Linked DNA regions of Drosophila melanogaster. The main gene of each other region encodes a partner of the protein of the gene in region 2 in a complex. Each region holds a gene or a part of one and is shown on either strand. Other genes may lie near its edges. The genes, in order: eIF3d1, eIF3i, eIF3a and eIF3m.

Region 1 (7,110 bases), on a different chromosome or scaffold from region 2:
AATTTGGGCTCAGTGCCGGACAATAAATATTTCTTTTCTTAACCAAATTCTACTATTTTGATTATTTCATTGGAATATATTAGTGTACATGTTCCATAGAATCCATTCAACGAATTTGGATGTCTTTGTGTAAGCTGCTGGTCCGTATCCGCACTGACTGTACCCGTAGGATGTGATTCCGGCTAGATATACGAATTCCTCGTCACCACGTTCCATGATGGCCATCAGCGGACCGCCGGAATCGCCCTTGCATGTGTCATTGCCTCCCAGGTTGCCGGCGCATATGTGGGTCTCCTTGTCCAATCCCAAGGATGGTTCACTCAATGAGCACTCGTCCGCGTTCCTGCCATTGACATAGGCCTGTAGCAGCACATTGCTATAGCCCTGCTTATGAGAGAGTCCCCAGCCAGCTATTTGCAACTTATGGTTGCTGAAGGACGGATTCGAGAAGATATAGTCAAGTTGAACACAGATGGGTTTGATTTGAGCGGTATAGCTAAAGACATATGAAATGTATATATATATATATATATGTAGTAAAAGATATGACAGGTCAAGTGCAACTAACCGTACTGGAAACTTCAATCGCAGCAGGGCGATGTCGTTGTAGGGCCTTTCCTCGAAGACCATGTAGTGCCTATGCTTGATACTCAGATCGACGTCAATTTCCAGATGCTCTGGAGCGCAGTGTTCCCTACCATTAATATGGGTGACGCAGTCGGGATTGCTTAAAATGTTATGCTCGCCAAGGCGCACCCTCCTGAGATCCAATCCCGTTATCCTCAGACAATGGGCTGCGGTCAGCACATAGCGGTTTGTGATCAGGGATCCAGCGCACCTGGACACGAGTCTTTCATTCCACACCGAACGGCTGCGATGCGCATATAGAATCAGGGCCATCCAAGGCAACTCGTTGGGTTGCGTCTCCTCTCCTCCGAAAATTCGATAAGCCGGCATGATTGGTCCACATATCTGGGTATTTGGCAAAATGTGTCCCATATTTGGGCAGCAGATGAGAACTCTGTCCAATAATTCCTGCCCCTTGGGGCCATAGCCGCAATATCTGTCCTCGAATACCGCCTTCTCGGCTGGCGTCATGTTGTGGGGCTTCAGAAAGGGCAAGAGTGATGTGCAGCGGGCTAGACTAATGCATTTCTCATCCAGATTACAAGGCGGATATTCTGATACAGTAAAGAATTGGATATTAATAAATATTATATTATGTGAGTCATTTTAATTGGATGTTTAGATAATGATTGGACGAAACAAAGCTATTTATATTTTAAAATTCAAGGAAATACCCATATCCAAATGAATCATTTTCTTGAATGTTATAACGTATACAATGTGGAGTACTTGCAACATATATTACCAGACTCAGCCAGGTACATCAGCAATTGAGTATGCAGGACCAGGAAGGATATGTACACTCTTTGTAGGAAGACCATCTTTAACCGTCAGAGTTTAAACAATGTCTAAATCTTAACTAGATGCCCGACACGCACAATCAGCTTACTATATATGAGTCCGGGAAATGAGTCAGTCATTTACGTACAAGACCTCGGTGTTTCAGTCGAAAGTTTTTATCACAAGTACCCGGCATTAGACCTGGACCAATAAAAATTCATGTATTGTTTCGCCCTCTGTGATTTACTAGGAAATATCTGAATTTAAATCGAATACAAATGCTTAAGCTAGGGCCTATAACATGACCTTTTCCTTTAGAGGACATCAGTTGTGGTTATTCTTAGCGGGTTGTGGCAAAAGAGCCCAAGACTGGAAGGGATGCAGGAGTAGGGGGGCGTGGCGTCTAAATCTTGTTGTGCGCGTAGTTGTAGACCTGCTGGAAACCTTCGTCATCGCCCTCGCCATCGTCCGAGTCATCGGAGTCGAAAGTATTGTCTGGGATGTCGTACAGACGGATGATCGGCTTGTTGGGGTCCTTCATGATCAGGTATTTGCCATCCTTCTGCTTCATCACCAGATCGATGATGCATCTCAGGATTCCCCAGGCGTTGTCCATGCTCAGGTTGATCTGAGTGGCAAATTCATGCGGCTTGAACTGCTGCGTGCCGAGGATGACGTGACGCGAGTGATCTCTCGGATTGATACGCGACACATAGCCGAGCTTTAGCTGATCGGACCCGGCCAGGACGGCCTGCACAGTCCACTTGGCCAGCTTGCATGCGTTGTTCCTCAGCTCGTTGGCGAGCACAGCACCGCGCTGCGTGTCCAACTTTTGACGCCATTCCACGCCATTGGCCAACTTCGAGTCCCACTCGTTGAGTGCCTTGATAGTCATGAACTGCGGCTCGCCGCTTGGCGTCTGCAGGACACCATCGTGCTCGCAACGCGCTACCAGGACCTAAAAGTATAAGACAATAGTTTAACATAATATAGAAAAATATTCCAACTTTAAAGTTGGATTATGCAACACTTACAATATCGCTTCCCAGCTCCCACTTCTTGTAGCGGTAGCCCACGCTGGCGACTTGGATATCTTCGTCCTCGCTGATGAAAGGGTTGCTTTCCTCGAACTTGTATTTGGGTTCCTGGTCTCCAGTCTTAAGCACCTGCTGGCTAAAGTTGTGGTTAATGAAAGTCGCCTCGATGGCCAGGTTGCGAGGGGAGTTGCATGAGCTGTCGTCGTCGGTCGGTGGTTCCACGCTGCTCTCGTTCACGGTCAACAGATCGAACTCGGTGTGGTCACGCTTGTCCATGAACACCTTGTCGCCTAAAATAAGGTTACAATTATTATTTATTTCTCTTATTATTATTATATTTCGTATTTCATTTAACATACCAACTTTCTCGATGACAATATCCCAGGAATAGTTCGATCGCGTAGAGCACATGATGGTGGCCAGGATGGCGTCCGTGGCGAAGACATTGCCGACGGTCTTAGACAAACGCCGGATGACGGGATCGTCTGTGGTGGTCACCGTATGCACGATGCGATCGATCTTCTGCAGCGGCTTCTCGTTCTTCACATTGATGCGGTCGTAGGTCTTGTCGTAGTACTCCAACGTGCCGCAGGTGACAATATCGACGCCCTCCTTGATGTTGGGCAGCGACAGCTTGATGAGTCGCGGGAAGTCCATCTCCTCGATGGATGCCCAATCGGCGCGGACGGCCACCGAAGATTCGCGCATCTTTGGTGGTGGTCCGCGATGACCGAACTTCTTGCCCATGCCGCGACCATGGCGCGGATCGCGGGCCTTTACATTCTTGCCGCTGAGCGTCGTCATGCCGTGAGTATTAAGGCCACCGCGGGCATTCCTGCCACGACCGGAACGCGAATTCCTCATGTTGCGGAACCGGCCGCGCTGGTGCGGCGGCTTCTGGACGCGGGCCGTGTCCACCAGGTGGAAGGTTGTCTCGTCCTCCTCATGGTAGTACGAGTACTGAATGCCCGTGCCAAAGCTGGAGGCATACTTGTCTGCGAATGGAATACCAACCACCAATATGTTAGCAACAATATCATGCCACGACACACCTACCTAACCTCACTTTCGGCGATTAGTATTTTGTGGGTCGGTTTCGGGTGGGGAATAAACTCACTCTGGTACTTCTTGTCGTTGTTCGACGTATTCGTCCAGTCGCAGATCTTGCCCAGACGATCGTTCTTGCTGAACGGCTGGTACGGCACATCCTTGAACGTATCGGGCAGCTCGCAGGGACCCCAGCCCTTTTCATTGAACTGCACGGTCGGCTTCTCGAAGCTCGGGAACTGAGCCGCGGTGTTTATGGTCTCGCTCATCTCGCGCGTTTACCTGGTGCTCAGTCTGCAGTCGGCTATTCGGTCTATATACAGCGATTTTCCAGAAATCAACAAAGAAATGTGGAAAATTCGTATCGTCGCGTGTTGCGAAAATAGTTGAGTGGGACCGTTGTCGCGTTGAAATATACCACCGCCAAAGAAAAATACTAAAATCGTAGCGAATGTTCAAAGGTCTGGCAGCATGCTGTCATAGATGGCGCCACTGCTGGGCGGGAAAACTAAAAATTCGAACTATTCATTTTTCAGAACCTGATTTTACGATTTAATTACAAAGAAAATGCAAAAAATATTTTTTAATAAAAAAATGTATTGTTAAATGAACACAATATTTATTGACAATTATTTAGCTGCTTATTGAACTTTTCCTTATACTTGGCGCAAAAAATGGCATCAAAATGATCAGTTAAGTTTGCTGATAGATCCGCGTTATAAACCTTAAAATCACAAAGTTTTATTTTAGATTTCATGAATTTCTTTCGCATTTAAACTCACGTTATCCAGAGCTACGGCTGGCACTCCCTGAAATGAGACCTTGGCCGTTTCCTTGCCGTACTTCCTCAGAATGTCGTTCACCTGTCGCGTTTTCTTGCAATTTTTGACATCGCCCACGTCGATTTGATAGTGGTCAGCGCACTTTTCCAGCCTGTTCTTCTTACCCCTCATCATGCAGGCGATCAGCTTGAGGGATTGGGCAATGTCATGGTGCTCCAGTATGCAGGCGTGCCACGCGTTCAATTCGCACTCCATCACTCCGTGCTGGCACTCCACATTTCCGTCATCGTTCGTCTGGAGGGGATTAAGCGAAGTTTAAGTGCGGATTAACGCTGATTGACACTCTAAAACTTCAAATTGAGCTATACTATGTACTTGTACTATAACTACTAGTTTAAGCTACGAAAAATGAAACCTACCCTGGCATTTCCATAAGGAACCAGCGTAAGATCAGTGAATGGAAGTCGATCCTGACGGACCATCGAGGGATTGAGCTGCGTGGTCACGAACTCCATGCAGTAGGGACACAATGCTTCGTAGTACAGGGTGATCGCCAGTCGGTCAGCTTGCGGTCCGCGCAAACGCTGCAAAGTCACGATCAATGGGAGCGTCGCAATTCGGGATTCAGTCCGATCAACTGGGTCACTTACCCTTGGCGTGGCCACGCCCACCCATCCCAGCAGCAGACACACAAAGACAGCCGCCCTCATGGCAAATTCAGTTTAATCCCGAGCTGATCTTGAAATATTCGGCCGCTCAACGCCAGCGAACGCTCGACACTGAAATAATTCCGGGACTTGTAATGCGCAGCGTTGTCACTGCGTTTCGTCAAATTCGAAGCGGCCAGTGGCGTGGTTAGAAAATGCTCAAGGGGGGCTCAAAAATCATATAAGTTAAAAAAAAAATAATTATTTGTATTGCAATAGTAGGGTGACTTTTCGCTTGTTTTTTATAATTTTTCTGTAATATATCCGCTTTTGAAAAAATTAATATAAATATATAGATAAAGGGTGTGACTAGCCAACCAATTCGACGCCCCTGCTGTCAACCAGCATTTTCCCCTTTACATTTATGCGCTGACTACGGAAAACTTACTGAGCAGCGGGGTTTTAATCTTATTTTTAGACCACCAGACAGCTGTTTCTGATTAGAATCTGTATACAAAAACATGACTGATAAGCTGATATGTATATACTATACACATGTAAATTTTTATTGGCCCCAAGTGAGTCAGCGAGTAAGCAAACACTCCAGTTGGTTATAATTATTGTTTATTGGTCTTGGAACATTGAAACAGTTAAATTACTCAGTACATTACATAAAAGTTTACAAAATTGCGGAACAAGTGGGCAGTTTGATGTTGAACTTTTTCAGATACTGCCGACAGAAGTGTCTTTCGAAGTTGTTGCGAATGCTTCTCTGGTCGTAAGGATCAAAGTCCTGCGGATCAGAGGGTAATGTTAAGTTAAGTCTGGTATTTGATCATGTAAGCCTGGTTGGGTTGGTTACTCACATTCTCGAACACAATGGTGGGCACAAAGGAGATGCCCAGTTTAAGGGTTTCCTTGCCGTAGGGCGCCAGTATTTCTGCCGTGGTTCGGGATGCCTTACACTCCCTGGCCTTGCTGACGTCCACACCCATGCTCCTCGAGCACGGGCCCAGCTCATTCGAATAGGAGCGCAGCATGCAGTAGATCAGATTGAAGGCCTTCCGAATGTCCAGGGTCTCAATAATGCAGGCATGGAGTGCATTTAGTTCGCACTCATCCACGCCATGCTGACAAAATACTTGGCTCTCGCCAGTGGATGTGTTGTTGTAGAACTGCACGTAACAAATTCTGGTTTAAAACCTCAAAAAACATGAACTATTTCACGATCTACAAACAAATTGTGTGTGTGTATTTCAGTTTATTGCTGTTTTTTTTTTAATGTAAATACAAATGGTTTTCGAAATGAACTGCTAATGAATTCGAAATGAGTACTAAAGAAATGACTATAGTATGCATAAGAATTCTATCATTTTGATCTTAGCTGACTCACCCCCGCCTTGCCAAATGGATATAGCTTTAGATCGGTGACCGACCACCAGTCGTTGTCCTGCAGAGCATCGTACAATCTGCGCCGGATGAAGCTCATGCTGTCCGGGCACAGGGCCTCGTAGTGAATGGCCACCAGGAGCCGGGACTCATCCGGGGACTGGCCATTTCCGGGCGTGGGCCAAACGAGCAGCAGACACAGGGTAAACAGTAGCCCAAATATTTTATTCATTGTCCGCGTTCGTTTTTCGCTCTTGGCAGCCTCACAAACCAAACACAACTGCTCTTTTCAACTTGCCCATTTCACTTGCGCCGCTCCATGGAAACAATCACGCACATCTGTGACATTCACACAAATACACGCTCGCCTCCTATATATATATATATATACGTGTATGTATATATATATATATATTATATATTTGTTCTTTCTCTCCCATTTCTCCCGCCATCGAACGAACAATTGCTCTGCGCAAATATCGTAGCATCAACTGGCCATATATCTCTAATCTCTGGTCTCTAATCAGAGAGAACTGGCATACGGCTGCGGCTTAACCCATTGAACTCTTGGACTTCAGATAAGGCAGGAGCTAATAATGTTTATTAAAATGTTTGCATATATGTATGTACATATTTATATGTTAATAGTATGTTTTTAAGATTTAAGAGCTTTGTCCAGAGCGAATGCAAATAGGTATTATTTCTCTTCAAGCGAAACAAATACCTAAAATAAATGAATGCTGGTTAAAACAAGTTAAACAGCAGAACTGAAAATTACTTAATAAATTTACTTATCGTTTG
Region 2 (6,367 bases):
CATTGTCCAGAAGAGTTTCAATCGCTTCTTTGGGAAGAGCACCACTCCGGAGAATGTGCGCAAGTTTGCCCAGCGCTCCTCGCTTTATTTGTGCCAGGCCGCCTACAGTTTCCAGGTGATTAGATCTAAAAGCAATTAGTTTACTCAATCTTACCAAAGGTTATATTTTAGGGTCGGTACACGGATCGCATAGCCGAGTGCATAACGGAGCATCTGCAGACGTTTGTGCCGAAGAAGTACTTCATCCACATCAGCAACGAGGAGCTTCGCAAGCTATTCAACGAGGTGGTGGCTGTGTTCGACTACGAACGCTCTGATGTGAACACCGAGGAGCTGATATCCGGAATTTTCGATCACGCCAAGGACTCGCTGTGCGCTCATGTCCATATGGGCGACTCCGAGGTTGTGAACCGCACCCACTTCATCGTCGCTCACATGTTCAAAGAGCTGATTGAGGTGCTGCCGCTGGAGGAGTTCCAGGCGGACGAGACCCTGCGCATGATTGTGGACGTGCTGGAGCGTGAACCGATGGTGGATCCTCGAGCCATAGCCGTGGAGCAGCTGATCGATAGCACGCTCCAGCACGCCCGGGAGAATCTGATCGATGGGATTACAGCGGTGCCCATTCGCAGCCTGGGAAGCTCCATTCAAAGAGACCTGATAAAAAGGCGGCAATATAAGCAGCCCAGTTGCGAGTCGCCCATGTCGGTGAGGATCGCCACGAAAAAGCCAGGAACCAGCAGTGGGCTTCCTTTCTAGACATCCATATCAAATACTTTGGTAGAAATTCAAAAATTAATTATTTTTGGAACTTGACAACATCGATTTACAAAAAGTAACTCAATACATATTTTTTTGTAGACTTCACTTTGAATTTCGAAAAAGGTGACCCAAACATGTATATTTTACCATAGAACATCTTTAAATCTGATTTTGAATTATTTGTAAAAGCGTGTGTTTCAATAACTGGCGTCCTAATAGCACAACTCAAAAATTTACTAATAAATTGTGAGGGACATATTATTCCCATTTTTTATTTATTTTAAAACGCCAAAGAAATAAAATAGCAATTCGCGTGCAGAAAATAAATTTCGAATAAATCCAGATCTGACGGGAAAACTTTACGACATCACTAATCTCGATGAGCTGACAACCCTGTTTGTGACTCAGAGAAACTGCAAGTAAACAAAGTGCAACTTCAAATTACAGACGAGATAAGATGTCGAAGCCATCAAAAGCAGGTCCACCAAGCGAGGGAAGTGCTCCCGCTTACGACTATCGCCATTCCGGCGATGACATGGCCATGGTAATAAGTTAATTTGATTATCAAATACCAGTCGCCATCTAAAGTTTTGCGACTTCTAGCGAGCTCCTCCGCCAACGTATGAAGAAAGCCAGCGAAACGGCGGCACCGGTGCTGGTGCCTATGGCTATCCACAAGGAGGAGGTGCTCCGCCCAGCCAGAATCAGTATTACGGCATGATCAGCCACCAGCAACAGCAGATGCCCTTCAGCGGGCAGCCCAACTACGGTATGACACATGGCAGTGGCTTCGGACTTGCTGGTCCCAGTACGTCGGCAGGAGCAGCTGCAGCACAGGTCCTCCACTTGGACTCACGGGCCGAGGTGAGGACAAATTCCAACGGAAATGTCGTCATTCCGCCTCCTCCGCCGGGCTGCCTGCCCACACCGGCTCAGTGGGCGGCCATGCAGGGTCAGCCTGTGGTTCTCAAGCAAAAAAAGCGTTCCTTTTTTTAGGTTACACATGGCACACCATTTACTCGAATATAATCATGTTGTACCTCTTTCCACTCCTTTGATGTTATAAAAATAAACGACGCGATCCGTTTCGTTTCGTCCTCGCGTATATTTGAAAGTTCCCTAAGCAAACGAACATGTCGCCGGTGAAATGGTTATGTTAAGTCCACCGGCTCTGATCCTACTAAATCACTACTGGATACAAACTACTCGAAGATGTTCTCAAAGTATGTACTATCGAATGTCTGGACACGCACGAAACCATCTTCTCCGCCCGAGGCGTAACTCTTGCCGTCCGGATGGAAGGCCAAACTGTTGATGGGTCCGAAATGGCCCTTGAGTCGGGCGAACTCCTCCTCGTATATCAGGTGGAAGAAGCGCGAGTCAAACTTGCCAGCCTTCGTAGACGTAGTGGTCACCTCCATGGCATCTTGACCGCCGCCCAGCACGACATGATCCATGATTGGGCTGATGGCCGCCGAGTTTACTGGACGCTCCGTTTTGTAGGTCTTGAGGCACATCAGGGACTCCGAATCGAACAATTTGGCGGTGGTGTCCTTGGAGGCGGTCACAAACATGGTGCCATCCTTGCTCAACTGCATGTCGTTGATGCCAGCGCTGTGATCCGTGCCAGAGTCAACCACCTTTTGACCCTTACGGATGTCCCAGATGGCAATGTTGCCATTATCGTGACCTGGAAATACGGGTTTTAAACGGTTTTCATAATAGATTATCGGGTAAACACCAACCTGTGATGATGGTCTCATCCAGAGGACCCCACAACATCGACGTAATTTTGGACTCGGTCATCGGGATGCGGAGTGTGGGCTCCTGCTCCGACAACGAGGAATCGGCGTTGCGGACATCGATGAGGAACAGTTCACAGCTCTGTCCCATCGCTTTGTCCGTTGAGTAGGCTGCCTGGTTGCCCGAGAAGCTGAAGTTGCTGGTGCGCACCGATGACTTGGTCGGAATGGAGGCGATAACGGTGCCGTACTCGACGTCCCAGATCTTAGCGGTCATATCACCGGCGCCGGTGATGAGCTTACGGCTCTCCCAGTCCACATCCAGGCACCAGACCGCACCCTGGTGACCATCGTAGGTGCCCAAACGTTCTCCGTTCAGCGAGTACCACACATTGGGCTTCTGATCCTTGGAGCAGGAGAAGAGCAGGTCGCCCTCGCGGTTGTACTTGATTTGCGTTATGGAACGCTCGTGGCCCTGAAGCATCAACGGACGCTATAAAAGACAGAATAATACGAATTTTTAGCAACAATTTAGGCCGCTTTTAAGGTTATGTTTGGTCCGGAATTTCACACGACTTTCACACTTTGCAAATAGTTGTAATTTCGGGTAAATTCTAAAGAAACCCATCCGGAATAATGCAAACTGTGTAGTCATTGACCAGGCACGCACCATTTTGTATTATATTGTTATTTGTTGCGAGAAAACGAATATTTTTGCAACAACATCCACGCAGCACTACACGCCAAAAGAGCAGTGTGACCGTGGCCTAGTCAAAATCTCACTTCGATATACCAGGGGGATCTAAAAAATACCGTTAATCAAGTTTATTTTGAACAACCAGAAATTTTTACAATCTAGAACTTAAGGTATAGCCAATATAAACGAAAATTTGGATTTAAAACTTGATATACATCAAGTAAAAACCATATTTTATGCCATACATTAAGTAAATACAACGAAACAACATTTGCCTAGCTTAGCCAGCCTAGCTGAACCATCCCTTTTTGTTCATTGAATTCCACTTGGCTATGTTCACCAAAATGGATGCCACACACTGGTCCTTGTCCCGATTTTGGCCGTAGTAATCGACAAACTCGCCATCGGGATTGACCAGGTACATGATGATGGTGTGATCCACAATATAATCGTTGTCCTCGTCCCGCGGTCCAGCGCTGAAATAAACCCTGAAGGCCTTGCACACTTTGCGGATTTGTTCGACGGTTCCCGTGAGTCCCAGCAGTTTGGGGGAGAACTCTTTTACGTATTTGGCCACCACCTCTTTGGAGTCACGTTCTGGGTCAACGGTGATAAAGATGGGCTGCACTGCTGGCGTTTGCGGGGACTTTTCTGTGAAGGTTTGAGAAACATGGTTTTTTTTGGGTTTGGAAGAAATAGTCAGGCTCTACTTACCAACTTCATCGACGACGGCGGCCATCTTCTCTAGCTCATCGGGACAAATATCCGGGCAGTGGGTGAAGCCAAAATAGATGAGCAGCCACTTGCCTAAGAAGTCCTCCGATTTGCGAACAGCTCCCTGCGAATCAACTAATTCCCAACTGCCGCCGATGGCTGCTTTTCCCAATTGCCGCTGACGCTCCTTCATTCTCGCCTCATCCTTCTCGCTCTTCACGTACAGCATGAAGCCCACTCCTCCGGCTCCAAGGGCTCCAATGACGGCCAGACTTCTCCAAGAGATCGGACCCTTGCCTTTAGTGGAATCTGCGGGAGCGGCATAATGACGAATTGCGGGCTGTTGTGCCCAGCGACGACAGCTGCCCACTAAGCGTTGCAGGGAGCGGGACATCTTACGCCCGGTTTCAGAAATTTGAAGGCTTTACGTAAATCTTCTGGAGAAATAAAAATATCGCCGGTGTCCTGCTGCTTCTTCCTATTCAGCCAGTCACGGCGAAACAGCATTTATTTAGTACATAAAGTATATTTATTTAGTATATTAGTTAGTTTGTTAGTTAGTTTGGTATATTTTGGTATTAGAAGGCGGTCTTATTGATTCCAACACGTGCGGTTCAATTTTGTTAAATTATTTAATAAAAACACCGGGGCAAATGGCAAGCAAAAATCGCAAGGAGCCGCTTCTGTACATGGAGGAGTATCGGGTGAAGCAGGATCCGCAGGACTATGGACTGGCGGACGATGTATTTTCCGTTCAGGCTTTCAAGGAAAAGCTGCACATCAAAATCGTCAGGTAAATCTCAATAGAAATTAGAATCTTACGAGTCGATTAACAATTGGTGTTCACTTCTAGAAACGACGAAGACGGCCTGGAGTTCGATCTGATTGGCGTGTATCCCGCCATTGCAAATGCCTTCCGTCGCCTGATGCTCAGCGATGTGCCCAGCATGGCCATCGAAAAGGTGTACATATACAACAACACCTCGATCATCCAGGACGAGGTACTTGCCCATCGAATGGGTCTACTTCCGTTGCGGGCTGATCCCCGTCTATTCGCATACCGCACCGAGGAAAGCACTGAGGCGGGGACCGAGCAGGATACGCTTGAATTTGAGCTGAAGGTGAAGTGCTCGCGGCGACGGGATGCTGGAAAAGATCAGTCCAACTTCGATGACATTTACAAAAACCACAAAGTGTACTCGGGTCATCTGAAGTGGCTGCCCAAAGGAAAGCAGGCGCAGATATACAGCGAGAGTGCTGTGAACTGCATTCACGATGACATACTGATTGCCCAATTGCGTCCGGGTCACGAGTTGGATCTGCGCCTGGTGGCGGTTAAGGGACTTGGACGGGATCACGCGAAATTCTCGCCGGTGGCCACGGCCACCTACCGACTGCTGCCCATGATTAAGCTGAACCGCGAGGTGACCGGTAAGGATGCGTACCTATTACAGAACTGTTTCTCACCAGGAGTAATTGGCATTGACGAGAATGAAACTGCCTATGTAAAGGATGCACGCTACGACACGTGCAGCCGAAATGTGTATCGCTATCCCCAGCTAAACGACGCTGTGACTTTGGCCCGTATCCGAGATCACTACATTTTCTCCGTGGAATCAGTCGGCGCACTGAAGCCCGATGTCATCTTCCTGGAGGCGGTCAAGGTATTGAAGAGAAAGTGCCGGGCGCTAATTGACGAAATTGAGGCAGAATAGTTATTTATTTAGTTGTTAAAGAAATTATATTATGTACATAAGACAGCTTGATATAAATTGTAAGCCTACGAAGATCGTGCTTGCTCTCTCTTGCGCTTGAGCACCTTCAGGCGAAATTCCGTTAGGACCACCTGCAGACGCTCCTGGCACATTAGTGCGTCCTCCAGGTCCATGTTGTTCAGCTGCAGAGCCAAACTCTTGCCAAACAAGTCAAATTCACTAATAATGGTGTCTTCCGTCATCGCGTCGACTTGGTATTCGTTATTAATCTCCGTATCTTCCGGCTTGAGCTGTATCATCTCTTCCTCGTAGACCACCTCTTGGTCCTGGAGATCTGTTTCATTCTGTTGTACTTCGAGGAACTCGTTCTCAACCTCAAATTCTTGCTCTTGATAGGGCTGATCTGTTCTGAGTAAATCATCCAGGATTGAGTCGTTCGAGGCGATTTCGTCCTCCTCCGTCTCCTCCTCCATGCTCTCCACCTTCGTGTCGTTCTTGATCTTTGGCTGCATTTTGCTCCTTGGCTTTTGCCTTGGATAGGTCTTTGATTTGGCTTTGGGCTTTGCTTTGGGTGAAATTATGGAGGCCTCCAAGTCTGGGTCATGCTCATCTTTGACAAGTTCACCCTTAATCATATTCTGTAGGTATAAATACGGAGTTGTTAATTTTATGTAAATTAGTAATGAGATGAGAATTTTTTTTTTGGAGCGATAAGTTGTGCATCGCATAGAGGGAGC
Region 3 (8,832 bases), on a different chromosome or scaffold from region 2:
TCCAAAATACCACTTCATCCGGATATGATAAGGACAATAAATTTATTGCACTGGTTCCAAGGAACACCAATAAAGGGGCCAATAAAACTCCAAACTCCAGCGTGCCATTGATGTCCAAATTTTGCGAACAAATTAAGTCGCACTTCCACTCTGTCCTGCCGACACGAAACCTACTCTGTTCAAAATCCCCAATTCCGATGGAAAAGGAACCTGATCACGGTGCAGATTTGCTGTTGCCACGACCAGTTTTCAATAACCTGGAGAATGAAGTTAAAGTCAAATGCTTCAAGCCTTCTGAGCTAGCTAGAAATCCCAAACCGCCTATTAGGATTTTTGGCATAACAGGCTTCTTTGTCCTAACTGGTACCAATGCTCAGTTGTCTTTTCACATCGGCCAACTTGCGATCAGAGGCGTTAGTGTCCAATCATGTATACATCTGCAAACCGAAATGATGGATAAGGTGGAGGAACAACTCGCTAAGCTGACTATGGACCGCAAAAGAATCCTCAACAAAATGCATAACAAGCATGCAACACTTGCACAACGTCGAGCTCCGCCAGAGACACATCATCAGGGTAAAAATTAAACATAGGCATTGACATTAAAATTAAATTACAATGTAAATAAATACCGAAACCGGAATAAAAATGTAGCTTTAGAAAGCCTTAACACGTGTCATAAATGACTTAACTTAATCATTTAAACAAGATTTCTCTAAAACTATGTCATGAATTGCACAATTTAACTTCATGTTTTGCATTACAAAGATTTTTTCTTTGGGCTGGGAAAGGTTGTCGATATATTCAAAATTATGTTTATATTTTCCTGATAGTTGTTGCTTAAAACTATTATAGTTTAGTTGAATAGTTTTAAATTTAAGTTCCATCTACAATATATTGATGTAAATACTGTGGCCGCAATATTGAAAGCCTGCACGAAAGGTGTTTTTTGACACTAGATACCAAGATTTCCTAAATGGTAAAATTAACATTTCGAAAATTGAAGCAGTCACATACCCTCTACTATACGATTGACGGGTGTAAATGATTTTAATCAATCTTCAGCGCCTCTGCATCACCTACACATGGACCTGGAACACAAAACACAATAGTTTTAGCCAACGACAACAATAACAAACATGCCCACACAACGACGATGGCGGAAAGAAGAAGCAGCAGTAGCAGCAACAGCACATGTTTGCCCCAACCACGTGTATGTGTATGTGAGCCACGATGGGCGCGTGTGCGTGTAAATGCCGCCACGCCATGTGCTTTTGATACTGCACTCCTTGGCGAAAAGCAATCGAGTTGAATGAATACGTTTCGCAGGTCTTGCCTATCACCTTGGCACTTTGGTTTCGAAAGCCTTTCTCCCCAAAGCTCAGCGGATTCGCTATCGCATTCGCGATGTCCAATCTGTGGCACGCGCCTAGCAATATTACCTTCTGAGCTTCCGTTGTGGTTCCGGATCACCTATTTCACTCGAAAAAGGGCTTCCCCAGCCGAACGCTTGTTCGTTCGGATTTTTGCCGCCGTCTGCTTTAACCTCACATGTTGAGCGCCGCGTCTGCAGCACTAACACAAGCACACAAGTCCGGTGCCCAAAAGGGCTTTTTCTTGCGGCAGTCAAACTGCGTCTTTCTGTTCCGCCCGAAGATCACGATCACCCGCGGTTTAAGATGGGCCAACGTCACTGCACTCCAAAGCAACCCGCAATCACTTTATCTCATGAGTACCGTATAGCACATTGTCCAAAATTTGTTCACGTGGACCGAGATTCGCGGCAGCGGCACAGACAGTGTGACCAGGGGCGCGCACCGCGGAGGATCCGCGAGGCCATGGCATTAGTGCCAAGTTCGCAAGAAAATACTAGTTGAGTGTGCGAAGAAGGCGCGGGCTCATATTATCGAGGCAAATTTTCAGAGGCAGAATATTTTTGTTTTGCTTGCTATAAAAGCTTTTCTAAATTTACTCGAATTTATTCCCAACGAATATGGTTTTACCTAAGAAAGATGTCACTTTTTTAAAATAAGTCAAGCGTATGTGATAATACAATTTACAATACTTTTGAATGCATTTTTTATTTATGGGCAATTAAAAAACCTAATGTTAAAAAGCCACGCTTCCAAGAACGAACTTTGTAAAACTATAGAAGAACCCGCATTTGTTTAGTTTGCAAACTACATTTTAATGTAGTTTTAGCTCTGTCGAAATATAAATTTAAAGGGACTGGTTTATAAATCACTGTACGTATAAGGGAAGCTTGGTTCATCCTGAAATCTGATAAATAAGAATTAGAATTTTTGAATTAAACCAATAATAACCACTTTTCATTTCTTTGATTCCCAAGGTTCTCATTCGACAATTTCACTTTTCAATTTTTTAGAACATAGTTATTTTATTCGAAAGTACTTTAATTAGTATCGGTCCTACAACCATCTCAATTTTAACTATCTGGCACAAGCTTTGGATAGATAGATATAATATACCGGCCGACTGAGCTCTACACCAATAAAGTACAAGTCGGATGAAATAAAAACTTATTAAGAATATTATGCTGGGTATATACGATGATGAAAATAAAAATTAACGACGCTTAACGCTGGTCCACTCGCCATCATCGCCAGCTTTGTTCTCTGAAAGATGTAACGCATTGATAAGAATGGAAATTAGGTTTGCTGCTGAGATTACTTACCCTTTTCCTGGGCTTGATCGCGCTTAGCTGCTGGTTTTTCCTCACGGGTCGCAGGAGCAGTACGCCAGTTTCCGCCTACTCCGCCACTGGCTGCCTCCTTAGGAGCAGAGCCGCGTTGATCGCCACGAGTCTCGCGCACATCTCGGTCGCGCCTCTCAGCTGGGCGACGGGTTTCCCGATCAGCGTGGCGTGGAGCGTCGCGCCAGTTCCCTCCAGTTTCCCGCTGAGGCTCGTCGGTACGACGCGCCCCGTCGGCGCGGCGGAATCCACCGCGCTCATCGTCACGATCCCGGCGAGGACCATCGTCACGGTCACGCCGAGGCCCATCATCCCTGTCGCGACGAGCCCCATCAATGCGGAAATCGCGGTCACGTTCTCCGCCACGCCGCCACTTGTCATCGCGCGATTGCGGAGCGCCACTGTCTTTGGGAGCAGCTGCACGCTGTGAATCTGGCTCTCGTCGCACACGCCAAGAGGAGTCCGCTCCCTCGTTGTCCTTGCGGTCACGGTCACCGCCTCGTTCAATGCGCTCTCCACCACGCTCGAGGCGTTCTCCACCGCGCTCGATCCGTTCTCCTCCGCGCTCGATACGCTCGCCACCACGGTCGTTGCGTTCACTGGCCGCAGGTGCAGCACGACGCCACTCGCTGGATCCGCCGTTAGATGCGCTTGGACGGTCACCGCCTCGAGGACGCCATGTGTCACGGTCCTTTTCAGTGCGTTCGCGCTCCGAGGCCAACTCCCTGGACAGGCGGTCTCGATCTTCCTTGATTTTACGCTCAGCTTCCTCCTCCTTGGCACGCTGCTTTTCGTATTGGGCACGACGCTTTTCGTCCTCAGCCTCACGCTCCAAACGGCGGGCTTCTGCTGCGGCGCGCTCTTCGGCAGCCTGTGCCAAGCGAATCTCTTCCTCCTTGCGAAGACGCTCCTCCTCTTTCTCGCGAAGGAAGGCCTGTCGGCGCTCCTCGCGGCGTCGAATAATGCGGTCGGCTAAGCGCTTTTTGCGCTCTGCCTCCAGAGCAGCCTCAAACTTTTTGAGCTTTTCGACGTAGAGGGAGGCACGTTCTTTTTTAAGGGCCTCAAGGAATTCATCCCGGTCCGGATACATGCGCTTGAGACGCTCCTGCTGGGCGACGGCATCCTTCCGTTCGGCAATGGCATTCTCGATGCGTGTCTTCTCGGTTGCTTCCCAGAACTCCTTGTCCTTAACCTGCTTTTCGGCCAAGTATTTTTCGAAAAGCGGTATCTCCTCCAGGCGCTTGGCGCGTTCGAAGTAGTCGATTTTCTTCTCTTGCGATTTGAGTTTCGACTGCAGTTCCTTGGCCTCGCGCTGAAGTTCCTCGCTTTCCCGCTTGGCGATCTGCTCGGCGTCCAACTTCTTAATGCCTTCCTCATCCAGCTTGGAAAGCATCTTCTTACCATGAGCCGTCTGCGAGATTTGCTGAACCTTCTCCTTGAGACTCTTCTCCCGGATGGCTTGGATTTCGTTCTGATGGCGCTTGCGCTCTCTTTCTTCTTGCTCCTGCTCGAGGCGCTTCTGTTCGGCCAGTTTGGCCTTCCGCGATTCCTCCTCCTGACGCCGCGCCTCTTCCTCTTCACGAGCATTATTCTGCTTCTCGATGTACTCCTTTCTGTCCTCGATGATCTTCTGTCGCTGAAGAATACGCTGGTGCTCGCGATCCTTGATCTCATGGTAATGGTTTACCATCTGGTTGCGGAGCTTGGCCCGCTGGTCACGTTCACGGTTCGGGTAGACGATTGAAACTGCCCGTGTCAGAACAGTAGACATATTAACCAACTGAGAGCGGATCTGTTCCGAGGGCATCGATTGCAAAGCGGGTCCGTCGGGGCGGTACTCGCGTTGACTCTCGGTCAGATCAGTGCCGAAATAGATACTGTTCTTCTGGTGGTCAATACGAATCTGCATGTCATTGTGACGCACGGACTCGACCAGCAGTTTTTCCAATTCAAAAATGTTGCAAAAACTGGCCAGCTGCAAGAGACGCTGGAACTTAATACTCTCATAAACCTGAGAGATCTGACGAATCAGACGCATTATAGTCACGTCCTTCAGCGATTGAATGTAAGGAGTGAGCAGAGCGTTTTCGGGCCCGTTCTCAATGAAGTCCACGATAGACTGAATGCGCTTGCACAGATTCAGTGGGTTGAAATCCACCTCCAACCAGTTGTATAGATTGCGAAAGTCCTCAGATACGAGTTGAGGAACATTCAAGCGCACCTGTGTTTATGAATTAGTCATAAGTCATTACTATATTGCGTGATACTTACCACTTCACGAATAAGGGAGACGCGAGTAGGTGGCTGGGGCAGGCCCAAAAGCACGGCCAACTTCTGCGCCTTCTCCAGGGGGCTCTTGTCCGCCTCAATAAACCTGTCGAACTCTGGATGGGCCGAAGGCAACGGAATAGAAAGAGTGGCCAGGAGAACGTGGGCAGCCATACGCTGCAAGTCGTCCTTCGTCAGGTTCTTCTTCAGCTCGCGCGTCAGCTGGAAGAGCTTCAGCAGCGCTGCAGCGTGGAACAACTGGTTGCCGGCCTTGCTAAAGACCATGGCTAATTTTTGGTAGTAGTTGGCCATGGTTTTGGGCACGGGTGTCTTCTTGGACAGAGCCATCAGGCCATGGATATCCTCGATTGCCTTGTAGGCCTCTTGCCACAGCTCCATCTGGATGGCCGAGTCAAGAAGGTACAACCTGGTGTCCAAGCAGAGCTGCTGCGTTTCCACCTTGTTGATCGAGACACCGGTGGTCTGGTTGCTGCTCTTGCAAATGTCCTCCAAGTGTTTGCGCAGCTTGTCGCACAAGCGGCGAAACTCGCTCTTGCGGTTGTACTTAAGGCAGAACTGGAAGGCCATGCGAGCGATATCGTGGTACAGCGCCTCGCAATGCGTGTTTACGCGCAGCAGCTCTAGACACTGGCAGTAGGACTCCCACAGGAACTTGACCCACGGGAGCAGAATAGTGCGGTCGGAGCGGTCCTGTGCGTCCTCGCCACACACTGCGCTCATTAGGATGCTCTCTGGCGTGGCAATGTTGTCCAGGTCATCCAGCTCCAGAACAGCAACGGCCGCCGAGGACTGGGCTTGGGCAGCCTCTGTGTGCTCTTCGGCCATTTTCAGGTAGCCGCGGATTACATTTTCCAGAGAGTTCACGTTCACCAGCTGGAACATGTTCCGGTACTGGAATAGTCCCTCCTTGGCGATGTGCGACTTCTTGAGTTCCACGCAGAGGTACAGGTACTTGAACATGAGCGGTTCGATGACCGTCTCCGAGTAGGCATAGTTCCATCGCTTGTTCCGGAAAACTTCCTGCAGCGTGTCCAGCGCCCTAAGCGGCTTTCCCACTTCAATGAACTCTGTGACGAAGAGAGCGGCGTCGAGTTAAGAGAGCACACGATTCGCGAAGACGAAAGTTTCTCTTCAGACACCGCATGGAAAATTTTCAGCACTCACCATTAGCCCTTTTTAGGGCGTTTTCCGGACGTTGCGTATAGCGGGCCATTTCCGATCGCTTTACTTACTTGCGGCGGCACTTCAAGTTGATTTTGATAGCAGGTCTGGAGCGTTTTGAGACCTGGGGCTGCTGAAAATTGTATAAATCTTCGGCTCGCCTACGTGTGGCTGCAATATTAATGCAAAATGGCCGAGTCGACGGCACGCAGGGCTACACCTGGCTGCGTTATCGATAGTTCAGGCCGATAGTTGCCGATGGTCAGCTAATCGCAGTGCAACTCCGCTAGCTCACAGCAATAACACGAGGAGTAATGAAGTCGCTCTAGAATATAAATAAACAATTCATTAATTAAAATAGCGACATGGTCAACTGGAGGAAGTTTATCTTGTGGTTCGCCCAGGAGCATGTCGACTTTCGCGTGCAGGAGTTTGATTCGCTGGTCAAAATGTTTGGACTTCAGGTCCGGCGGCTTACAGAACACACCAGGGTAAAGTGTTTTAGTACCAGAATTTTGAAAACGCAAGATTAACAAATTCCACCTCCCCTATAACTTTTAAAACCTGTGGTTTAATGTTATATCCAAACTTGGAATTTTATTAATATGTTTAATATTTTTAACGTAAAAAAATTTTATATGTATTTGTAAGAGGAAGAAAATAGTAAACTATATTTTCAAAAGTGTTTTCAACAGGTAGAAATTTAGCATTACTAGCTATAAATTATATACGATCGTTGAGATCTCAGGAACTACAAAACCTAAAAGGTTTCGAAAGGATACCTGATACCTGGTATACATACATTACGAATACGATCCGCGTACCTGTTAGATGTTTTTAGTGTAGGATACTTTGATTACATTATTTTTAGAGCTTGCGACACATATATAAATACTTCTGTAGTATAGAAGCATCAGCATATATAGTTATATTTATATTTTTTAATTTCGGTATTACAGAAACCATTTTGGTTGGTCGAATTTCGGGACACGGATACTGCGTTGCTATATGCATCCAGGTCCGTTTCGTTGCGCGCCATGTTCGAGCTCTACGCCCACTCCAACAAATTACCCGAGTTTCACCAGAGGCTACGGAATCATGTTACCGCGAACTGGCATTCGCTTGCGGAATACTTTCGGGTGGATGCCAGTTTTAAGATCGTTGTGGAGACCTACAACAAGCACTTCAGCCAGAGGGAAAAGGTTGAGAAAATCGAGTCCATGGATTACCTGCCAATAGAGGGAACGGTCAATCTGGAGAAACCCGTGGTGGAGTGGTGGTACATCGAGTTTTGGGGCTTGGATCCAACGGCTGTGCCACCTGAGCCGGAGGACATTCTGTTTGGTCGGCTGATGGCCCATGGTCAGCGGCATTTGATCAAGGAGCTTTCGCTGAAGCATCGTAAGTTTATCGGTAACACCAGCATGGACGCCCAGCTGAGCCTGCTAATGGCCAACCAAGCGATGGTACGCAATGGGGATCTGGTATTTGATCCGTTTGTGGGAACGGGCTCGCTTTTGGTAAGCGCCGCCAAGTGGGGCGGGTATGTCCTGGGAGCGGACATAGACTACATGATGGTGCACGCCCGCTGCCGGCCGAGCCGGATAACCCAAAAAGTGCGGGAGAAGGACGAGAGCATTCGGGCCAACTTGAAGCAGTACGGCTGCGCTGATCGCTACATGGATGTGGTGGTGGCCGATTTCTCCAACCCGGTGTGGCATTCCCGCATCTCGTTCGACTGCATAATAACAGATCGTAGGTTTATTCTTTTTTATACCAAACTTAAAATGTTCATTCTTTGGTAATTTAAGCTCCCTATGGAATAAGAGAGGCCACGGAAAAGGTGGAGAAAAAGGCTAGCGTAAAGGCCAACACTAGAAGTGACAGCATGGTGCATTACCCATCAACGTCGCACTATTCCTTGCAGAGTCTCTATGGGGATCTTCTCGAGTTCTCTGCGAGGCACCTAAAACTGGGAGGACGTCTTGTCTGCTGGATACCCTTTCACAGCGAGGACTACGACCCGAAGATGCTGCCACAGCATCAGCATCTGAGCCTGATAGCTAACTCTGAGCAGCAATTGACTGGGAATACAGCTAGGCGGCTACTCACCTATGAAAAGTGTTTCGAGTATAGTCCAACAGAACCCTTATTGTGCAGCATAAAACAGGTGCCAACGCCCTCGCAGGACTTCAGGGATCGGTACTTTAATAATGCTCTGGAGTCACGCAAAGAGCGTCGAATGCGGAAGGCAGAGCTGCGGGAACAGGCTCGTGTGGAGATGAATGCACGGGGAAAGATTCCTACGGATGGGCGCTCCAAAAAGTGTGACCTGAATAAAGCTCGATTTATGTGATCTCCATTGAAGTGTAATTTATAGTAAGATATAACTTCGATTCGGGCCAAATTTTTTGTTGGCTGTGTGTCGCTGAGTTTTCTTGTATGGCATACATTTCGAAGATTTTGATTCAGATTTGGACAAAAAAAAAAATAGATAAATACGATTGACAATGAGTCTATATATGTATATAGTTATAATGTTATTTTAATATTTTATGAAATACATAAATCTAGTTTACAAATTTCCATTTCGTAAAAGTTGAGATAACAGAAGGCCAGGAAATATGTATTGATGCATAATTTAAATTATAAATGTTGAAATAAACTTG
Region 4 (6,572 bases), on a different chromosome or scaffold from region 2:
CTAAATAAAATTATTTCTAAAGTTTCATGTAAGCAATAACATCTGATTAGAAAATAATAGGTTGCCAGATCTGAGCTTTTTAGCCCATAGTAAGAAAGTCTCACAATAAAATTAAAAAATAATTTCACAATATAATTTCATAAATTTTCAAATATATATTTATGTTTGCAATTATATTTATATCACATCATAAACAAAAGCATTCCAAACATTTTGTAATCTGGCAAAGAGACAGAGTTGCCACCTGGTCAAAGAAAATCGAAGCCGGCAGAATGCAGTGGCTCAAAATGAAGCTTCGCTTCGTAAACTTAATTTTACTATTAATAAGCTCAACATGTGCCCAATTGGGGGGCGATCCCAATGGCTACCTCACCTACTGTCCGTGTATGGGTAAGTTTCACTTGGAAGCAACCGAAAAACGACAACTAAACCGCGCTTTTCAAAGGACGCTTTGGCAACCAGGCCGACCACTTCCTGGGATCATTGGCCTTCGCCAAGGCGCTTAATCGCACCCTGATCCTGCCGCCGTGGGTGGAGTATCGTAGGGGTGAACTGCGATCCCGTCAGGTACCGTTCAACACATATTTTGAAGTGGAGCCCCTGAAGGAATACCATCGCGTCATCACCATGGCAGATTTCATGTGGCACCTGGCCGACGACATTTGGCCAGAATCGGAGCGAGTGTCATTTTGCTACAAGGAACGATATAGCCTTCAGCAGGAGAAGAACGATCCAGACAAGCCCAATTGCCACGCCAAGGATGGCAATCCTTTTGGTCCCTTTTGGGACACTTTTCACATAGACTTTGTGCGGTCAGAGTTCTATGCGCCACTTCATTTTGATGTGCATCATAGCAACGAGGCTGCCAAGTGGCAGACCAAATATCCTGCAGAATCATATCCCGTACTCGCGTTCACCGGAGCTCCGGCTAGTTTTCCTGTTCAGCTAGAGAACTGCAAGCTGCAGCGCTACTTGCAGTGGAGTCAACGGTATAGGGAAGCATCTAAGGATTTCATCCGAGAGCAGTTGCCTCGGGGTGCCTTTTTGGGCATTCATCTGCGCAACGGTATCGATTGGGTGAGAGCCTGTGAGCACGTCAAGGATAGCCAGCATCTGTTTGCCTCGCCGCAGTGCTTGGGCTATAAAAATGAACGTGGTGCACTCTACCCGGAGCTCTGCATGCCCTCCAAGGAGGCGATCATCCGCCAGCTAAAGAGAACCATTAAGAACGTGCGCCAAACTCAGCCGGACAACGAAATCAAATCAGTTTTCGTGGCGTCAGACTCCAATCACATGATTGGTGAACTAAACACGGCCCTTAGTCGCATGGGCATCAGTGTGCACAAGCTGCCGGAGGATGATCCTTACCTGGACTTGGCCATTCTCGGACAGTCGAACCACTTTATCGGCAACTGTATATCCTCTTACTCGGCATTCGAAAAAAGGGAACGAGATGTGCACGGTTTTCCATCGTACTTCTGGGGATTCCCCAAGGAAAAGGATCGTAAGCATACAAACGTGCACGAGGAGCTGTAATGGAGCAACAGGATTATCTACTTAAATACTCGAATAGGCTATTTTTCGGTTTTCTTTCCTAATACTAGACAGTTTTATTACATTGATTAAGCAATATTCTGGACTTCACTTCTTAAATGGTTAAGGTAAAAGTTTCAACTTACAAATTTAATGAATTTACTTTTGAATGTTACCAATATTTAGTGCTTTTAAAGAATATCAGTATATTTATGTTTTATTCTTTTAGCTTTAATTCTTAAAAAGGATTTTAATGAAACCCGTTAAATGCCTTCAAAAACACTACAACTTAATTGTAAGCTATTAAAGTATTCCTCGCATTTATGAAAACACTTGTTTGCTACCGATTTTACTTATAAATTTATTCAAGTTATCCAGCCCTCTCGCATTCTTGAAAATAATTTAGGTCGTCACTCCAGTGCCCCGAGGCCAGCATTTGTTCATCATCAGTGCAATTTTTTGGAAGTGGTGCGCCTAGTGTATCAGCTTCTGGGATCGAGCCAGATCCAGTTGCGCCGAGGAGACGCTCGTTAGACCCTCGCGCACTGTGCTGAGGTTCTCCTTCCATGCCTGCAGCAAATCGCGAAGCTGCTCCCATTGTGGTGCTCCAAAGGTTCGGTGCATTGTCGATGAGATGTGTACCTTTTGATTGGCCTGATCTAGTCGTGCGCGTACCAGCTTTGTTTTCAGCACCTCGATGACGAAGGGCTCCACCTCGTCTTCGTTGATCTGCAGCTCCTTGGTAAGCGTTTCGAATGTCATCTCCGGGCTGCTCTCGGCCAGCTGCATGAAGGTCAGCAGACGCATCTTCTTCATGTTCTGCTCATGGTTCAATCCTTGCGAGTTGACAAACTCCCTGTGATCCTCGTAGAACTGCACGTACGCTGGCAGCTTCTCGGACACGAAGATGGACAGCAGGTCGTGGATGAGGTCGCCTTCCAAAAAGCGCACAGGCTTCAGCGACAGCAGAGGATCCAGCAGGAATGTATTGGGGTCGGCCAAGGCAGTCACAATGCACTTCATGGCATCCTCACGGGCAACACAAGCATTGTCCGCCGTGTAGGTGCCCAGCAGCTCAATCATAACCTTGGAAGACAGCTCCAGGTTGGTGTCCTTGGTCACGTCGTGCAGCAGGCGGTACAGCTTCTGCATCTGTTCCGACGAAGGTGGGCAGTTGGCAAACTGGGATTTGAGCTGATCCACACCTGAGAAGACCTCCAGCACCTGTTCGCACTGCTTGGCCACCTGGACCAGGTGGTAGTACACATGGTAGCGTAAGGGAGAGGCGGTGTCCAGGTTGTTGAACAGACGCCACAACGACTGAAGGCACACCTTGCCCAATGGAAGATTGGGAGCCTTGGTCATCTTCTCGCAGTAGGCCAGGACAATGTTCTCACCGCGATCCAGGGGTATCTGAAATATTGAAGGTTATTTTTTGTTGCTAATATTGTATTCTGTATTACTCACCGTGATCATGATGGACACAATGCTGTTTAGAATTCCATCAATCTGCGAGGGCTCACCATCCTTAAAGCAAACGTCGCAGACGCCGATGATCTTGTGCAAATCATCCTCCACACCTTTATTGGACTTCTCCGATGAGATTTCGGCTCCCAGCTTCTTGAAATACTTGCGCAGCTCTTGCACCTTTTAATAAATTGCGAATAATATTAGTTTTGTTTTGCAGCAAGAGGAAGACATAACCTCAATTCGGGCAAGGCGCCGCCCGAATTCATGGCTAAAACAGGGCACTTTCACTCTACCTGCTCGTCCAGGGACAGGTCTATGAAAACCGGATGCGAAGTCATGGTTTTGTTAAATGTTATTCCACTTTTTTAAACAAATTCAGCTGAAAATAACACGCACACACGTCTTCGGCGCTTTGACAGCTCGAAAGGAAAGAGAGCGACCAGTGCTGCCGGCCTGGTCCGTTTCCCGCTAATAGCGATGCTCTCAAACAATTGACCGAATTAAATTAAGATGACGTTAACGTGGCCACTTAAAATATATAATATTCCTCTGAAATTCATTCAGTTCAATAAAATTAAAATAGTTATGGCTTTGCAAGTGTATTAATGCTGACATAAAAATCAATTTTATAAATGTTTTGACGGGACTCTAGCTAACAATAAATGTGGGCAAAAGTAGTGTTCCCGGATCTTCTGAAACATATAAGTCACTAAGTGACTTCTTAGCCGTACCGTTACTAACGTTCTAAAACCCGTTTCTCCTGAATTTTAAATTTACCATCCAGCAGTTATTTATTTTACATTTATCACTTTACAGTTAAGCAAAATGACACGATTTTTGTTAAATTGTTAATTTGGCGACAGTCTGGCAACTCCGCTGCTACTAAGTTATATTGCTCGCCAAATTTATATTATATTTGTATAACGGGCGAGAAGAGCAGGAGTAATGCCAGCTAATCGGGGCGGAGAATTATGAAATACACGACACACACGCAGCGTGCGGCTTCCTAGAGCCACAGAGATTCCGCAGCAGGCGGTACAACCGTTACTAGTCAACCACTATCCTCAGCAGAACTCGTGATTACATGGCTACATCGGATTTTGTTCTGGGCGGCCTGGCCTCCGTGGGGGCCACCTTCTTCACCAATCCCATCGAGGTGATCAAGACACGGATCCAGCTGCAGGGCGAGCTGGCGGCACGGGGTACCTATGTGGAGCCCTACAAGGGGATTGTCAATGCCTTCATTACGGTGGCCAAAAATGATGGCATTACGGGGCTCCAAAAGGGCCTCGCACCGGCCTTGTACTTCCAGTTCATCATCAATTCCTTCCGGTGGGGAATTATTTAGTAGCTATATTTTATAATTATTAATCATCTTGAATTTACATTCGCCAGGCTCAGCATTTATTCGGAGGCAATGGAGAGGCGGTGGATGCACAACCGGAAGGGTGAGGTGTCCTACGGAATGGGACTACTGTGGGGCGCCATCGGCGGCGTCGTGGGGTGCTACTTCTCCAGTCCATTTTTCCTGGTACGCCAATTGTGGGAATGCTGCGGGAGGTTACATAAACAAATACATAGTTTATCTAAATGAGCCGCGTGCTCATCAGCATTATGGACCTTCCACAGATAAGAGACTTTATTGGCAATTGTCCATCAGTATCTAAATACTACCATTTCAAGATATCCAGGGAGAAAGTATTATACTTCCAAATATTCCATATTTTTTGACTGTTTATGGTTGTTTGCATTGCTTATTACTTTATGACATAACGCATTTATTGTTAGCCTATTTATACCAAGACATTTTCAAGATCTAGAAACAGAAAAATATTCGCTAAATAACTTAATAAGTATTGTAAACATTAACATATTATCACAGTCAATTCTCTTATGTACAATGTCTATATTTCTATATTATTATTTATGGTCCTTTCTTTTGCATCCAGATCAAAACTCAGCTGCAATCACAAGCCGCCAAGCAAATCGCCGTTGGCTACCAACATGCCCATACTTCCATGACAGATGCCCTGCGTCAGATCTACTCCAGGAATGGAGTACGAGGACTGTGGAGAGGATCTGTGGCCGCATTGCCCAGGGCGGCTTTGGGATCAGGTGCCCAGATAGCCACCTTTGGTAAGACCAAAGCCCTGTTGGTCCAGTACGATCTGGTGACCCAGCCCACGTTGAACTCCTTCTCGGCTGGCTTGATAGCCGGATCCATTATGTCGGTGGCCATAACGCCGCCAGATGTAATCACCACGCGTCTGTACAATCAGGGCGTAGACGCCGAAGGACGCGGTCTTCTTTATCGCGGTTGGCTTGACTGCTTTGTGAAAATCCTACGATCAGAGGGCGTTTATGGTATGTACAAGGGGTTCTGGGCCAACTACTTGCGCATTGCCCCCCACTCAACCCTTGTGCTGCTATTCTTTGACGAGCTGGTCGCCGTACGCACAAAGTATAGTAATCAATGACCCCAAAGATCACTGGCTAGGTAGCATTAATTTAAGTACAAAATTGTTAAAATCGTTTTTACCACCCGGAAATATACACATTGCTTTTTATTATTAAGCCAAGCTTTGATAAACAAATTTGATATGCAAGTGCCGCCGCATACAATTTGTTTGTCTAAATCTGGCTTTAGTCTTTAGTGAGTTAGCTTAATGTCCTAGTTCCAATCTCTTAGATTAGCAAAGCCCCAGAACCAACTTGTGCCTTCATTAAGCTAATTTAAGAGCTCTTCCTGTAGCCATTAACCGTGCAATATTTTGGTGAAATAAACCAGTTTAACTGTTACATTTTAACGCATATTGCTCTCAAGTCTTAAGCAGCTAGCTTATCGCAAGTGTGGCGTTAGTGATCACTAGATTGTGATACAGAACGGACGTCTCATTGATGGCTACGTCGGATTTTGTGCTGGGCGGCGTGGCTGCCATGGGCGCTGGTGTCTTCACCAATCCCGTCGAGGTGATCAAAACTCGCATTCAACTACAGGGAGAGCTGGCCGCCCGAGGATCTCATGCTCAGCCTTACAAGAGTGTCTTCCAGGCCTTTGTGACTGTGGCCAAAAACGATGGAATTCTTGGCTTGCAAAAAGGATTGGCTCCAGCGCTATGCTTCCAGTTTGTAATAAACTCGTTTCGGTAGGTTAAAGCTGTTTGTTATCCTACAAGGAGTTTTCCAAAAATATACATATGTGCTCTATCTCTCTATCTGCTCTAGATTGAGCATATACACCCATGCCGTAGAGAAGGGTTGGGTCCACAACAACAAGGGCGAGATCTCATTCGCAAAGGGCATGTTCTGGGGCGCTTTGGGCGGCGTTGTGGGTTCCTATTGTGCCAGTCCCTTCTTCCTGGTAAGCGATTATGTAAATCAAACACTGAAGGTGTCTGCTTCCGCGAATATGTGACAATGTCTAGCCGTGATAAGATAAGGCATCACTGATAGCTACATTTCCATTCTAGATCAAGACGCAACTTCAGGCACAGGCAGCCAAGCAGATCGCCGTTGGTTATCAGCATCAGCACGCCTCGATGAGCGATGCGATTAGGAAGATATACAGG

What was found.
Region 1: eIF3i (region 2) and eIF3d1 share a complex: the UniProt entries of both Drosophila melanogaster proteins name them as parts of the eukaryotic translation initiation factor 3 (eIF-3) complex.
Region 3: eIF3i (region 2) and eIF3a share a complex: the UniProt entries of both Drosophila melanogaster proteins name them as parts of the eukaryotic translation initiation factor 3 (eIF-3) complex.
Region 4: eIF3i (region 2) and eIF3m share a complex: the UniProt entries of both Drosophila melanogaster proteins name them as parts of the eukaryotic translation initiation factor 3 (eIF-3) complex.

What each region holds. Positions count from the first base shown.
Region 1 is NT_033777.3:23,676,841-23,683,950, reverse strand, and holds eIF3d1 (eukaryotic translation initiation factor 3 subunit d1), read right to left. Parts: upstream 3,913-7,110; 5' UTR 3,761-3,912; coding exon 3,562-3,760; intron 3,440-3,561; coding exon 2,804-3,439; intron 2,735-2,803; coding exon 2,442-2,734; intron 2,366-2,441; coding exon 1,811-2,365; 3' UTR 1,634-1,810; downstream 1-1,633. Other genes in the region: CG16710 (uncharacterized protein), read right to left, coding at 67-496, 569-1,181, 1,373-1,448; GILT2 (Gamma-interferon-inducible lysosomal thiol reductase 2), read right to left, coding at 4,111-4,215, 4,274-4,567, 4,693-4,857, 4,924-4,983; GILT3 (Gamma-interferon-inducible lysosomal thiol reductase 3), read right to left, coding at 5,600-5,713, 5,787-6,095, 6,314-6,541. UniProt on the Drosophila melanogaster protein: mRNA cap-binding component of the eukaryotic translation initiation factor 3 (eIF-3) complex, which is involved in protein synthesis of a specialized repertoire of mRNAs and, together with other initiation factors, stimulates binding of mRNA and methionyl-tRNAi to the 40S ribosome.
Region 2 is NT_033779.5:4,964,517-4,970,883, forward strand, and holds eIF3i (eukaryotic translation initiation factor 3 subunit i), read right to left. Parts: upstream 3,260-6,367; 5' UTR 3,178-3,259; coding exon 3,175-3,177; intron 2,998-3,174; coding exon 2,508-2,997; intron 2,453-2,507; coding exon 1,965-2,452; 3' UTR 1,851-1,964; downstream 1-1,850. Other genes in the region: CG34124 (uncharacterized protein), read left to right, coding at 1-115, 172-759; CG34125 (uncharacterized protein), read left to right, coding at 1,220-1,306, 1,366-1,758; Scox (synthesis of cytochrome c oxidase), read right to left, coding at 3,491-3,852, 3,916-4,309; Polr1C (RNA polymerase I and III subunit C), read left to right, coding at 4,569-4,708, 4,769-5,630; l(2)05714 (lethal (2) 05714), read right to left, coding at 5,696-6,268. UniProt on the Drosophila melanogaster protein: Component of the eukaryotic translation initiation factor 3 (eIF-3) complex, which is involved in protein synthesis of a specialized repertoire of mRNAs and, together with other initiation factors, stimulates binding of mRNA and methionyl-tRNAi to the 40S ribosome.
Region 3 is NT_033777.3:4,427,533-4,436,364, forward strand, and holds eIF3a (eukaryotic translation initiation factor 3 subunit a), read right to left. Parts: upstream 6,364-8,832; 5' UTR 6,216-6,363; coding exon 6,167-6,215; intron 6,070-6,166; coding exon 4,985-6,069; intron 4,935-4,984; coding exon 2,696-4,934; intron 2,637-2,695; coding exon 2,587-2,636; 3' UTR 2,266-2,586; downstream 1-2,265. Other genes in the region: CG31525 (uncharacterized protein), read left to right, coding at 1-587; CG1074 (uncharacterized protein), read left to right, coding at 6,529-6,654, 7,123-7,918, 7,975-8,519. UniProt on the Drosophila melanogaster protein: RNA-binding component of the eukaryotic translation initiation factor 3 (eIF-3) complex, which is involved in protein synthesis of a specialized repertoire of mRNAs and, together with other initiation factors, stimulates binding of mRNA and methionyl-tRNAi to the 40S ribosome.
Region 4 is NT_033778.4:14,161,191-14,167,762, forward strand, and holds eIF3m (eukaryotic translation initiation factor 3 subunit m), read right to left. Parts: upstream 3,636-6,572; 5' UTR 3,342-3,635; coding exon 3,297-3,341; intron 3,181-3,296; coding exon 3,001-3,180; intron 2,947-3,000; coding exon 2,008-2,946; 3' UTR 1,876-2,007; downstream 1-1,875. Other genes in the region: O-fut1 (O-fucosyltransferase 1), read left to right, coding at 273-390, 446-1,536; CG8323 (uncharacterized protein), read left to right, coding at 4,088-4,335, 4,399-4,534, 4,953-5,480; CG18327 (uncharacterized protein), read left to right, coding at 5,902-6,149, 6,229-6,364, 6,474-6,572. UniProt on the Drosophila melanogaster protein: Component of the eukaryotic translation initiation factor 3 (eIF-3) complex, which is involved in protein synthesis of a specialized repertoire of mRNAs and, together with other initiation factors, stimulates binding of mRNA and methionyl-tRNAi to the 40S ribosome.